Linked DNA regions of Drosophila melanogaster. The protein of the gene in region 2 interacts with the protein of the main gene of each other region in a pairwise test. Each region holds a gene or a part of one and is shown on either strand. Other genes may lie near its edges.

The links. Proteins that work in one complex are often made in the same cells at the same time.
Region 1: the proteins of CG42661 (region 2) and Lrp4 interact in a two-hybrid assay, tested with the Drosophila melanogaster proteins (one large-scale study listed by BioGRID).

What each region holds. Positions count from the first base shown.
Region 1 is NC_004354.4:15,909,191-15,913,878, reverse strand, and holds the start of Lrp4 (LDL receptor related protein 4), read right to left. Parts: upstream 3,010-4,688; 5' UTR 2,891-3,009; intron 2,513-2,890; exon of another isoform or gene 2,225-2,512; intron 1,972-2,224; 5' UTR 1,808-1,971; coding exon 1,756-1,807; intron 1,101-1,755; coding exon 1-1,100.
Region 2 is NT_037436.4:7,463,820-7,469,321, reverse strand, and holds CG42661 (uncharacterized protein), read right to left. Parts: upstream 3,814-5,502; 5' UTR 3,771-3,813; coding exon of another isoform or gene 3,708-3,770; intron 3,653-3,707; coding exon of another isoform or gene 3,485-3,652; intron 3,422-3,484; coding exon of another isoform or gene 3,293-3,421; intron 3,236-3,292; coding exon of another isoform or gene 3,167-3,235; 5' UTR 3,143-3,166; intron 3,076-3,142; 5' UTR 3,037-3,075; coding exon 2,974-3,036; intron 2,922-2,973; coding exon 2,754-2,921; intron 2,697-2,753; coding exon 2,571-2,696; intron 2,504-2,570; coding exon 2,435-2,503; 3' UTR 2,247-2,434; intron 2,194-2,246; 3' UTR 2,135-2,193; intron 2,070-2,134; 3' UTR 2,004-2,069; coding exon of another isoform or gene 1,902-2,003; intron 1,845-1,901; coding exon of another isoform or gene 1,659-1,844; 3' UTR 1,599-1,658; coding exon of another isoform or gene 1,464-1,598; intron 1,403-1,463; coding exon of another isoform or gene 1,226-1,402; intron 1,177-1,225; coding exon of another isoform or gene 1,060-1,176; 3' UTR 514-1,059; downstream 1-513. Other genes in the region: Tsp66A (tetraspanin 66A), read right to left, coding at 1,060-1,176, 1,226-1,402, 1,464-1,598, 1,659-1,844, 1,902-2,003; CG42660 (uncharacterized protein), read right to left, coding at 3,167-3,235, 3,293-3,421, 3,485-3,652, 3,708-3,770.

The DNA.
Region 1 (4,688 bases), on a different chromosome or scaffold from region 2:
CCAGTCGCCGCAGTCGTTGTCGCCATCGCAGCGGAAACGATTGAGAATGCACTGGCCACTGGGACCACCTGCTCCACCCAAACCGCCGCGGCACTTGAACTCGCCCTCCGGACAGCTGTTTATGACCGCCGCGCACTTGAGCTCATCCGAGTTGTCATTGCAATCGTGCTCACCATCGCAACGAAAGGCCAGGGAGATGCAATAGCCATCGTTGCAGGTGAAGTGCTCATCCGTGCAGGTGGTGCGATTGCAGTGGGTCTCGTCGGAGAAGTCCTTGCAATCGTTCTCGCCATCGCATACCCAGGTTCGTGGAATACAGAATCCGTTGAGACACTCGAACTGATCATCTGTACAATTCGTCCTGGCTCCGCAGTGCGTCTCATCCGAGTAGTCACCGCAGTCATCATCTCCATCGCAGAGCCAATACTTGCTAATGCATCGAAAGGTTCGCGGGCACATCACATGTATCCCGGTCTTCTCGCAATCCCTTTGCAAATTCGGCACTGCATCCTCCTCGGGATTGCAGTTCTCGTCGGATTCATTGGAGTTCTGGCAATTGGAGTATGTCTCACCCGGTTGACTGGGATCGTCCTGCACCAGAACGGCCAGATTGACTCTAAATGGCTTCTGTTTGTTACTCGGACCACCTATAAAACCATCTCGACCACGTGAACTGATTCGATCAGTTTCGCGAATGCCGGCTATTTCGGTTCTACCCCTCTGGGCGCCAATGTTCCGGAACTTGGGAGTATCGTTTGAATTTGTGCCACCGGATATTCTAGTCTTGGATGGCACAGACGATTCCATCGTATGCAATCTTCCCTCTCCACTATGATGCACCTCCTGGCTATCCTCGTTATTCTGCTGATACGGCGGATAGTTGGAGACGGGAAAGAGTTTCTCGCCGAACTTGCTCAGCTCCTCCGACAGCTGATCCTCCCGCGACTCGTTGCCCGCCTCTAAATGTCCGATTCTGGCATCCGAGTGCAGCTGCTTGTGCTTATTCCAATCCCAACGACCCAGTGCGTTTGTCGGGTGAATTCCATAGTGGGGCGCGTTACGTTTCACAGCAGTTTTTGTCAAGTCGCCGAGACCGAGACCTAGTCAAAGGATTTAAATCGATACCATTTAACTTCTAATTAGCTCAAAATGCAGCAAAGGCTTTTGCCTTATCATACAAGTTCAGTCGTGTTAAGTTGAATTGAATGTTAACTACAAGTAGTTAAAGGAAAACCCCCCTATTTCTCATTCAAAGCAGATAGCAAAAGGCACGTTTTGCTATTGTTCCCACGCCACTGCAATGTTCTTGGAAAATACAACACTTTTCATAGGAAAGGAGCATTGAATGCAATGCTTCTGATTTGATACATACAAAGGTCATGTCTTGAGTTAAAAGGTTTTCCAATAGTTCAAAAACAGCTTTACAAAAACATGCATACATATGTACATACATACATATGTACATAGTCATGGACACGTTTTGTATGCAAGCAATATCCTTAAATAAAAAAGTTTCATTCAATTCGATGCATGTTCTTTGATGCCTTGCACATACATATTATAGATTGCATGTTCCTGGAAATTCGTATTACAATTAAGCCCTCTTGAGCAGGGAATTTTCTCAATTGGCTAGTTTTCGTGTGCAAGTTTTCATTGAGCAAAAAGTGCTGTTGGTCTGAGCGCATCGTGGGCGTTAACAGAGAGATACCCTTCATCTCCCCCCAGGACAAACTGTGTTGCGAGGACAATACTTACAGAGCCACACGAAGCATACCAATGGCCAAAAGGGAAAGGCTGTCAAATACATGTCCAGACATGTACACAAACTCGCCCACTCATAGGCACGTAACGTAGTAGCGCTGCGAGCTTTACTGCTTTTGCTTCCGAAGCATTTGCTGCTCTGCTAAGCGGATGCTGCTGCTGCTGCTGCTGCTGCTGTGCTGTTGCTTTCTGCTAACTGCTGTTCCGATTCTGTTAAGAGAAAGAGAGGAAGGTAGAGAGAAGGAGGTTTTCGTATTGAGCGCTTGCGTATAACATATTTTGCTACCAAGGCGGATCTAGAGTTTTATATATATATTTCTTTTTTTGAGGGGGGGCGGGGCGTAACTTTTAAAATAATGAAATTCACTCAATGATTTTTTGTCTCTAGGTTTTGGACAATATAAAGTTAATGCAAAGTTTTGGGCTTGGGGGAGGGGGGTTACTATGCGCAAAACCCGCCCACCTGATGTATATGTTGTGTATATGTTACACTTAAGCACACTCGTTCTTTGCGTAGGTGTCACTCAATAGATTTTACTCTATTCATCTTATTTGTAAGCACTTGGTTACTTCTGGTCTTTGTTATTTACTTATTGTGTCACTGGGTTTTTTATGATTTACATAAATGTTTATTGTAAGTTAATAAATTTAAATGCCTGGCTTGTACGTCCTCAACATTTTTCACATTACGCTGTCTCACTAAACAGAAGGTTTATTGTGACTTTGTAGGTCCAGGACCGACTCCGTGAATGGATCAAATATCATGCGGCACGGCATTCATGGCACTACTTCATTCAATGTATATCCTATTATAAAGTTGCGTGGGCTTGGCACTGCGTTTGGCATTTCCAGAATGTGGTATAAAGGTGTTTATAACGTCCTGCGAAGTCCCCTCGCAAATGAATGCGATATTTGGGACTTTGTTGGCATTTATGTATGTATGTCATGAGCACCACACACGCGAACATATGCATATTAAACACAGTATTATTAAACAAAAAGAACCTCCTGAAACTTTGACACTTTTCGATTCCAATTAGCAAGTGGCGGGCGAGAACAATTGAATCAGCTAATTGTTCCACACACATTTGTGTGGGTAATTTACGTGAATGAAAAATTATTTTCGTACAGCACGTCTCTTGTCTTCTTCGGGAATATAACGAATATAAAATTTCAGGGGATTACAGCATCCCTCTGACGGAAAGCGAAGTCGGCGGACGCGAGTGTTCCACTCAACTCTCGTGTGCTGTTTCAAAGTTTTCTCTGAATCCTTAAGCTTTTTCTGGGAAGCGAGCTTTTGTCTGTGTGCCGAGAGTGAGGGTAAATTAATTTGCAACAACTAAGTTAGCAAAATGCGAACCCAATTAAGGATTGTATCATTGAAAGCATTCTCCACGCTGCAGTTTTTCCTAAAAAACAACAAAAAACTGCAGCACCGAAATTAGGACAATGGACATGGAAGTCCATTTTAATCTCGATGTGTACATATATCGGTACATCATTTCTCGGAAGGGATCCACAGGTTACTTTTGTTTATCATTAACCTGGCATTCCTAAGTCGCGAAAGCTTTTTACCCTTTTATCAATATCTTATTAATTATTAAACAAAGCAGCAAAGATTATATCTTTTTTTTACAATTGCTTTTAGAATTTTTTTAGTGAAATTATTTTAGGTTTCTTACATGTCTTACTGTTTGTCATCTAAAACTGTTTAAGTACAACCCTAAAGAAAATAACAGCAGTTCAATGCTTTTTGTAAGCGGTACAGGATCTTTAAGTGCAGCATTCATTTATTTACGACTCTTTCGAACAACCTGCCATTTAATCAACAGGTTCCGGCCATTTAAACGGAATTTAATAAGGGTGTTTTGATCACGATTCAACCTAGTAGGGTGATGCCAGTGAGTTTTGCATTACTGACCATTTTGTCGTGGACCACGATCGTTAAATGTATGACATGCCGAAAGATCGACTGTCAGTACCATCCTTACATGAATGCAGGGTGGCAACGCCCTAGCATATTTTAGTATTTTTGATTTTGCTGGAGTAATTGGAACACTTGAGTGATGTGAAATTCACATCAAGAGTAAGTTCGTAAGATCGTATAACAAAAAGCTTATTTAAGAAAAAAAGTAGTGCAATTAGAAGAACTTTGTTTTTATTATAAGGGTAAGACCCTTTTATAGTCCATCAAACCCATTGATGGATTATAAGTTTTTAATGTTCTAATAACAACCCTAAGTGAAACATATTTCACAAGCAACAAGTTGGAAACGCAATGAGGAGGTTCCCCTTTTCAACGTATTTCGCTTGCCTTTCATTGCAAAGGATAGTACTATACTAATAACCGATGAAGATCGATATGTTTTACTGATCGCAGTGAGCAAGAGATATAACTCCGATGACGGCATGCTGAACTAGTTTTTTTCTGCCATAAGGTGTAACTATCTGGTTCACATAAATGCTTTGTCCACGCCGGTTAAGTGGCAAACGTGTGCAACTTCGAGTATACTTTTTTAATAGTTAATTTACATTACTCCATGAAGTGCTGTGCCGTTTGTATATAACCAGAATTCCGAGAATAGGCGTAAGTGAAAACTTTTGTTCTCGAGCTGATCGTACATAGCCATGCATGTACATGTACATAAGTACATAGTGTGAAATGAACGAGTTATTTCTGAGCAGGTCGAAAAAATATGTAAATAATGTAATGTGCATATGAATAAGTCAAGGTATTAGGGTTATATGCTATACTCTAGTGCTCCCACAGGACTAAACACATATGCCCGCAGTGTGCCCATACTTGAGCAAATACTTGAATTAAATGTGAAAAGAAGGTTGCAACATACATATGTATGTATGTACTTATGTACGATCATTTCCTATTGTACGCAGTGTTCCCATATCGGAGTTACCCAAAGTTCCTG
Region 2 (5,502 bases):
CTTTTTGTTTTAGCTCTTAACATATAATTTTTCTAGCGTTTAATGGGGCGTATGTGTGCTAAGAATTGTTGCAACCATTTTAAATCCCCGGAAACCATGGCCACTCACCTCAAAAACCCTTTTCATTCTGTTTTCCTAGTTTTTTTTTTTGCGAGGGCGCAAATATTTAGTGCAAAACTTTCTGTTTGTCTTTGCCGGTTGGGGGGTGCAACAAAAAATTGTTGGCCAAAGTTTAATGAGCCACATGACCCTTTTCGCCTGCGACTTCGTCTTTGTATCCCTTCCCTTTATCTATGAACTTTGCACTGGATATTTCAGCAGCTTGACCAAAGTGTGGTTGCTTTTGCTGCCGTTATTGTTATGGCGGCTAAAAAGTTTACCCAACACCCAAATACAACGCATAAAAAAGGCATTAACGATGTGGGCCGGAGCAAACTATTTAGCCATAAAGTTGGTCGTTCCGGCGGACAATTTCGTATGCATATTTTATGGATTTTCAAATGCTGCAAAATTGTTTTTCACGACTAGAATTTAATGTTGACAACAATAAAATTTATGCGCGGGACGAGGGACACAAAATGAATATATAAACTTGAGCGTTTGTTGAAGGGGGTGGGGCTGGATCGTCCTTGAATATTTTCTGCTTAGCTGCATTTGCATATTGTCCGGATTGGAGTCCAATTCCGTGTCCGAATCCCCAGCTATCCGGGGTATTTGCAATACTTTTTCAATCGCCCGACATGCTTTGTTGATTTCTTTATTGGCTCATCCATATGCATGCCGTTGTTGGACAGGATTCTGGACATTGGATTTGCGACTCAAGTGTTTATCGTTATTGATTGCAGTCCGTGAAATATGACGATAGCCGGCAGCATCCAATTTGTCTCGCCCGCCAGAATGCCAATACTCATGCCCGGTACAATGTGAATTGAAAACCGCACCCAAAATTGCAATTCACATGAAAATCTGCTGCTTAAGTTCCATGCAATGTTGGAAAATAGCCCTAAAGTTCAGAGATGTTCTTTAGGATTGCTTCCCAAATCCGAATAGAACTGCAAGTCACTTTTTTACACTACCAAACCTTTCGGTGACCCGCTCAGACCACATACTTGTGGGTTGGGATTTGCTCCTTAACAGGATAATAAGGAATACCTCAATGCATATGACTAAAACATACTAAAATGGTTTTTAGCGTTAGAATTCGAAACACCCGACCACTACTCACCTGAATTACGAAGGAGATCACATGGATGATGGGCGACGCGGGCTTTATGGAGCGCGTGGAGCAGCCTGATCGGTACAGGTCCTCATCCCTTTCACTGCCATTCTTGTAACAGGATTTTGGGATATTCAGATCGCCCAACTTGTAGTCGTCAGGTCCCAAAACTCCGCAGCACTGGCACTTTTAATAAACGAAGTGGGTAACTTTACTACTTAATATAATATTATTGCGAAACTCTTACGCGACTTTCGTAGAATTCCAAACTCTTGCGATTCATCCATATTCGAAGTACATCTCCAACAATTTGGTACTGTTGTGCAAACAGTATAGTCAGCATCATCTGCAACCATGTTGCCAGGAAGAGTACTGTGGCATACTGTAAAATTTAAATACAATCTTGGCAATCGCTGTGTTTTTAAAAATAATGTTTACAAACAATTACAATGCGTATTTCGCGGCATAAATGCGAATATATGAAGAAAAAACCGACTATCAGCAGCGGCGCCATTAGGGCATTTACGGTTAGAGCGATTATCATGTAGGACCTGAACAAACAATCCCAGCAAGGCATGTGTTCCTTCAGTATGAAATAGTATATGTAAATATCCGCACAGCTGAAAATCTGTGGGTGGGAACACCTTTGTAGTGGTTTTTTCTTCGCTTCCATGATATTACCTACGAAATTGACCAACCACACAAAGTAGATTATGAACTTGCAAATCTGTAGCTTTCCAACGCTGAGTAATCTTTGAAGGCATCCCGTTTCCTCATTATCCACCATATTTTATCCGAAAAATACGAATATATATATTTTTGACCTAAAATGACACTGCTTTCGATGGTATAACTGCTTTAAAAAAAAAAAACAGAATTTTTTCGGTTGACAATTAGCGATACTATGTTTTTCAATACCAATACGATGTCCATTATAATTTGCAAATTCAGCTAGCTTTTGGTATTAACTCCAATTGCTTACAAAAGACAAGATGTTAAGTTCTAAAATCCCAAGTTGACAGATACTTACAATTCATTAATGAAGTTTCCAGTGAGTTTCCGTTTTTGCTCTAATGCAGTTGGTTATTCGACATAGTTAATATCTTAACATTAATCACTGAAAATCACAATGACGGATCTAATGAGGAGGTAATACGATATTTTGCGTTTATGCCAGATAGTATTCATAGTATTCATAGTATTCATTTCAATACCAGTCTAATTGTCTTCGTTGGCAAGGTCATGTAGCCGAAGCCAGTATATTATTATAACGGCCATACATAAGAACTATTCAGTTGTCGGAAAAACTTGGTTAATACATAGTTATATAATTTGAATGTCTGTATAACCTTACCGTAAGGAGCCAGCATATCATAAATATGGGATGGGCTGTCGTCTTGTCAGGATTCAATTCAGTACTTAGACACACGAACAGAATTATCAGTTTCACCACGACGATGGCTACATAAACAAAGATCATCTGAAAATTACATCAAAAATTTAACTCAATGATTTTTAAAACCTCATGCTAACGAACCACTTTCAGAATTCGAATTTTATTACAGATCGCCGCATATATTAAAAGAACCAGAGTCGCCAGTATAACTACGGACAGGGATAGGCTTATAATAAGCATAATATAATGGTATCCCTTTAATAAATTCAATATAGAAACATCTTTGGCTATTTGAGCACCATTAATTCCCTGCCAATTGAATATTGAATTGGTTAATCAATCAAATGAGCATCCAACTTACTGCGGTTATAGGTATTACTAACAAAAGTACAATTTTGAGACCAAGTGTCGGACAAAAGCACATTCTGTCAAGATAGAATTTGAAAATATTTCGTTCGAAGAACTAAAACAAATGTGTGGAAAAAAGTTTAGAATTTTCTGAAAAGTTTACAAGTTTTACAAATCCTTACCACAATCAATACTCTTTATAAGAATTAGTCAGCTTGTCTTGAATTCTCTGTTAGCCGTATATAAAAGAATAGATTAAAGAGCATACAGCAACACTATTTTGAATTAATTAAGATTATTTTATCACCAATCCAATTAAATGAAATACGCACCGTGAATTTCCAGCATAGAAAGAACCAAAAATGTGCGGCAGTATTTTCAATACCTGTTTCTGCGGTTAATACGCAAACGATTACGATAATACCCTTTGCTACACACTTAAAAATCAAGAAAACAAGCGTCTGAAAAAGTTGTACAATATTTTGAATACAATAATTATTTTTGAATAATTCAAAGCTACGCACCACGTTTAAAGCCAATATATGATGACGAATAGCAGCAAAAATGGCAACTAAGAGAACAACTAGTATGATAACACATAGTGCTAGACTTATAGTAAGCATAACATGATGGTGACCCACCAGTTTATCCAGCAAAGTAATGTCCTTCGCTATTTGCGCGCCATTAAATCCCTTAAAAAAATGCGTCAACAGTAATTTGACATGAACGGGTGTCTATTCAACTCACTGCGGCAAGATGTATGAATGCCAAAAGAACGATTTTGAGTACACGAGTTGAGCAAATGCACATTATAGCTCAGATGAAAATAAAAAATTTAACATTTAGATTTTTGCAAATGGTAATCCAATTGACATTGTTCTCAAGTGTTAAATAAACAAATAAATTGGGTTATTTTCATAAATTTATACTTCTTTGCTTCATTCAACGTTCGAAGAGCTTGAAAAAGGACTTTAAGAAATCTGTGGAATTTGCATAGATTTATTCAGCATCGCAGCTTTTGACCGCGTTTGGTAATGGAAAACGGCTTGGGGGCGTGGAAAACTAGAACTAAAACCCGTACACATCCCTGCATGTTGAGCTGCTGTGGAATTTTTTAATCAAACAGTTGCCATTAATTACTGCAAAATTCTCTAGCCACATGACAGACATTTTTTCGACAGCCAGCCGCGCTGGAATGAATGAAAGAAAACAGGATGCGCTGCCGAGTCCTTCTTCGTGTGGGCGCCTGTATTTGTGAGCTAGAATCTGCGAGATGGCTTCAAATGCCATATGGGTGGGGCAGCTGCTGCTGCTGGGTATGGAATGCCAAGCGAACCGACCGCAGACTCGCCACCAAAAGGAGCAGCAACTAAAAATCAAATTAGGTGCAAACGAGCGCCTGTCGGCGGCAGGCGTTCATTTACTTGGCTCAAAAAAAAAAAAAAATGTGGGCGTGTCGCGGTTGCGTTTTCGTAATGAATAATTTATAATGCAAACGGGCGATGGATTTTATTTTCTTGTAAGCTCTTAGTTGAGATTAAAATTTTGCGGTTTGCCGAAAACCGGTGGAGTTAAAGTTCATGCTCCGCATGATTCGCCTGAATCGGCTGATAAATGTGCGTGGGCTGGTGTCATGTGCACGCTCGTGAATTCAATTTGATACACAAACTGATTTATCGACTCCAAAGCAGTGGCAGTAGCAGGAAATTCAAGGCACTTAAAAAATATACATGTAGTTCAAGTGTACTGCAATGTTTGTTCTCAGGTTAGGGGTACCTAAACAGTTTTTTGAATGAATCTTTAAAGTATCCTTCACATTACTAAATCATACTAAAATCATATAAATCTAATTGTATCATTTCTAGCGATACAAAAATAAGTTATTTTTTGTTGAACTATATATTATTATTTTTAAGCCCATACAATTTCTTCCAGTGCTTTGTCTCGACTCAACTTGGCACACGCCATTCATAAGTCAGTCGTCGTCAGTGGGAGAGTGGAGTCGAAAGTCGCAGACGATAAAAAATTACATACACTTGTAACTGGTGTCCTCGGGCCGGAGTCCTTGCCGTTACCACTGCTCCGGAGTTATGTCCTGGCCCCGCCTTTGCCTGTGCTGCAGCCTCTAACAAGGTTAATTTGTTGCGATCGCAGTTCTGTGTCATTTATCTTCGCTGTCAGCGGCAACTTCTCGCATAGAGCGCAGCTCCTGGCATCGTTCTAATTTGAATTTAACAAGCTCACTGGAGGAAAGGATGTGGACAGGGGTCCATCAGAGCATCAGTCTCTAGGGGAGCATTGAAAATTAAAAATTTATTGCCGGGCGTGGTGTCAATCATCGCTGGCATCATTCTCAGTTCAGCTGAGAACGTAATAAAGTATTGGAATAAAAATCACTGGGGATTTGTGCTACTCTATCAAAAGTGAAAATTCATATTTTTAATATAATTTTATGTTAACATTCTTCCAAAAATAGGTTAAGACAAGAGTACTTATAAATATTAAATGCATAAATAATATTTTGAGGCCCTGAAGCCCAAGT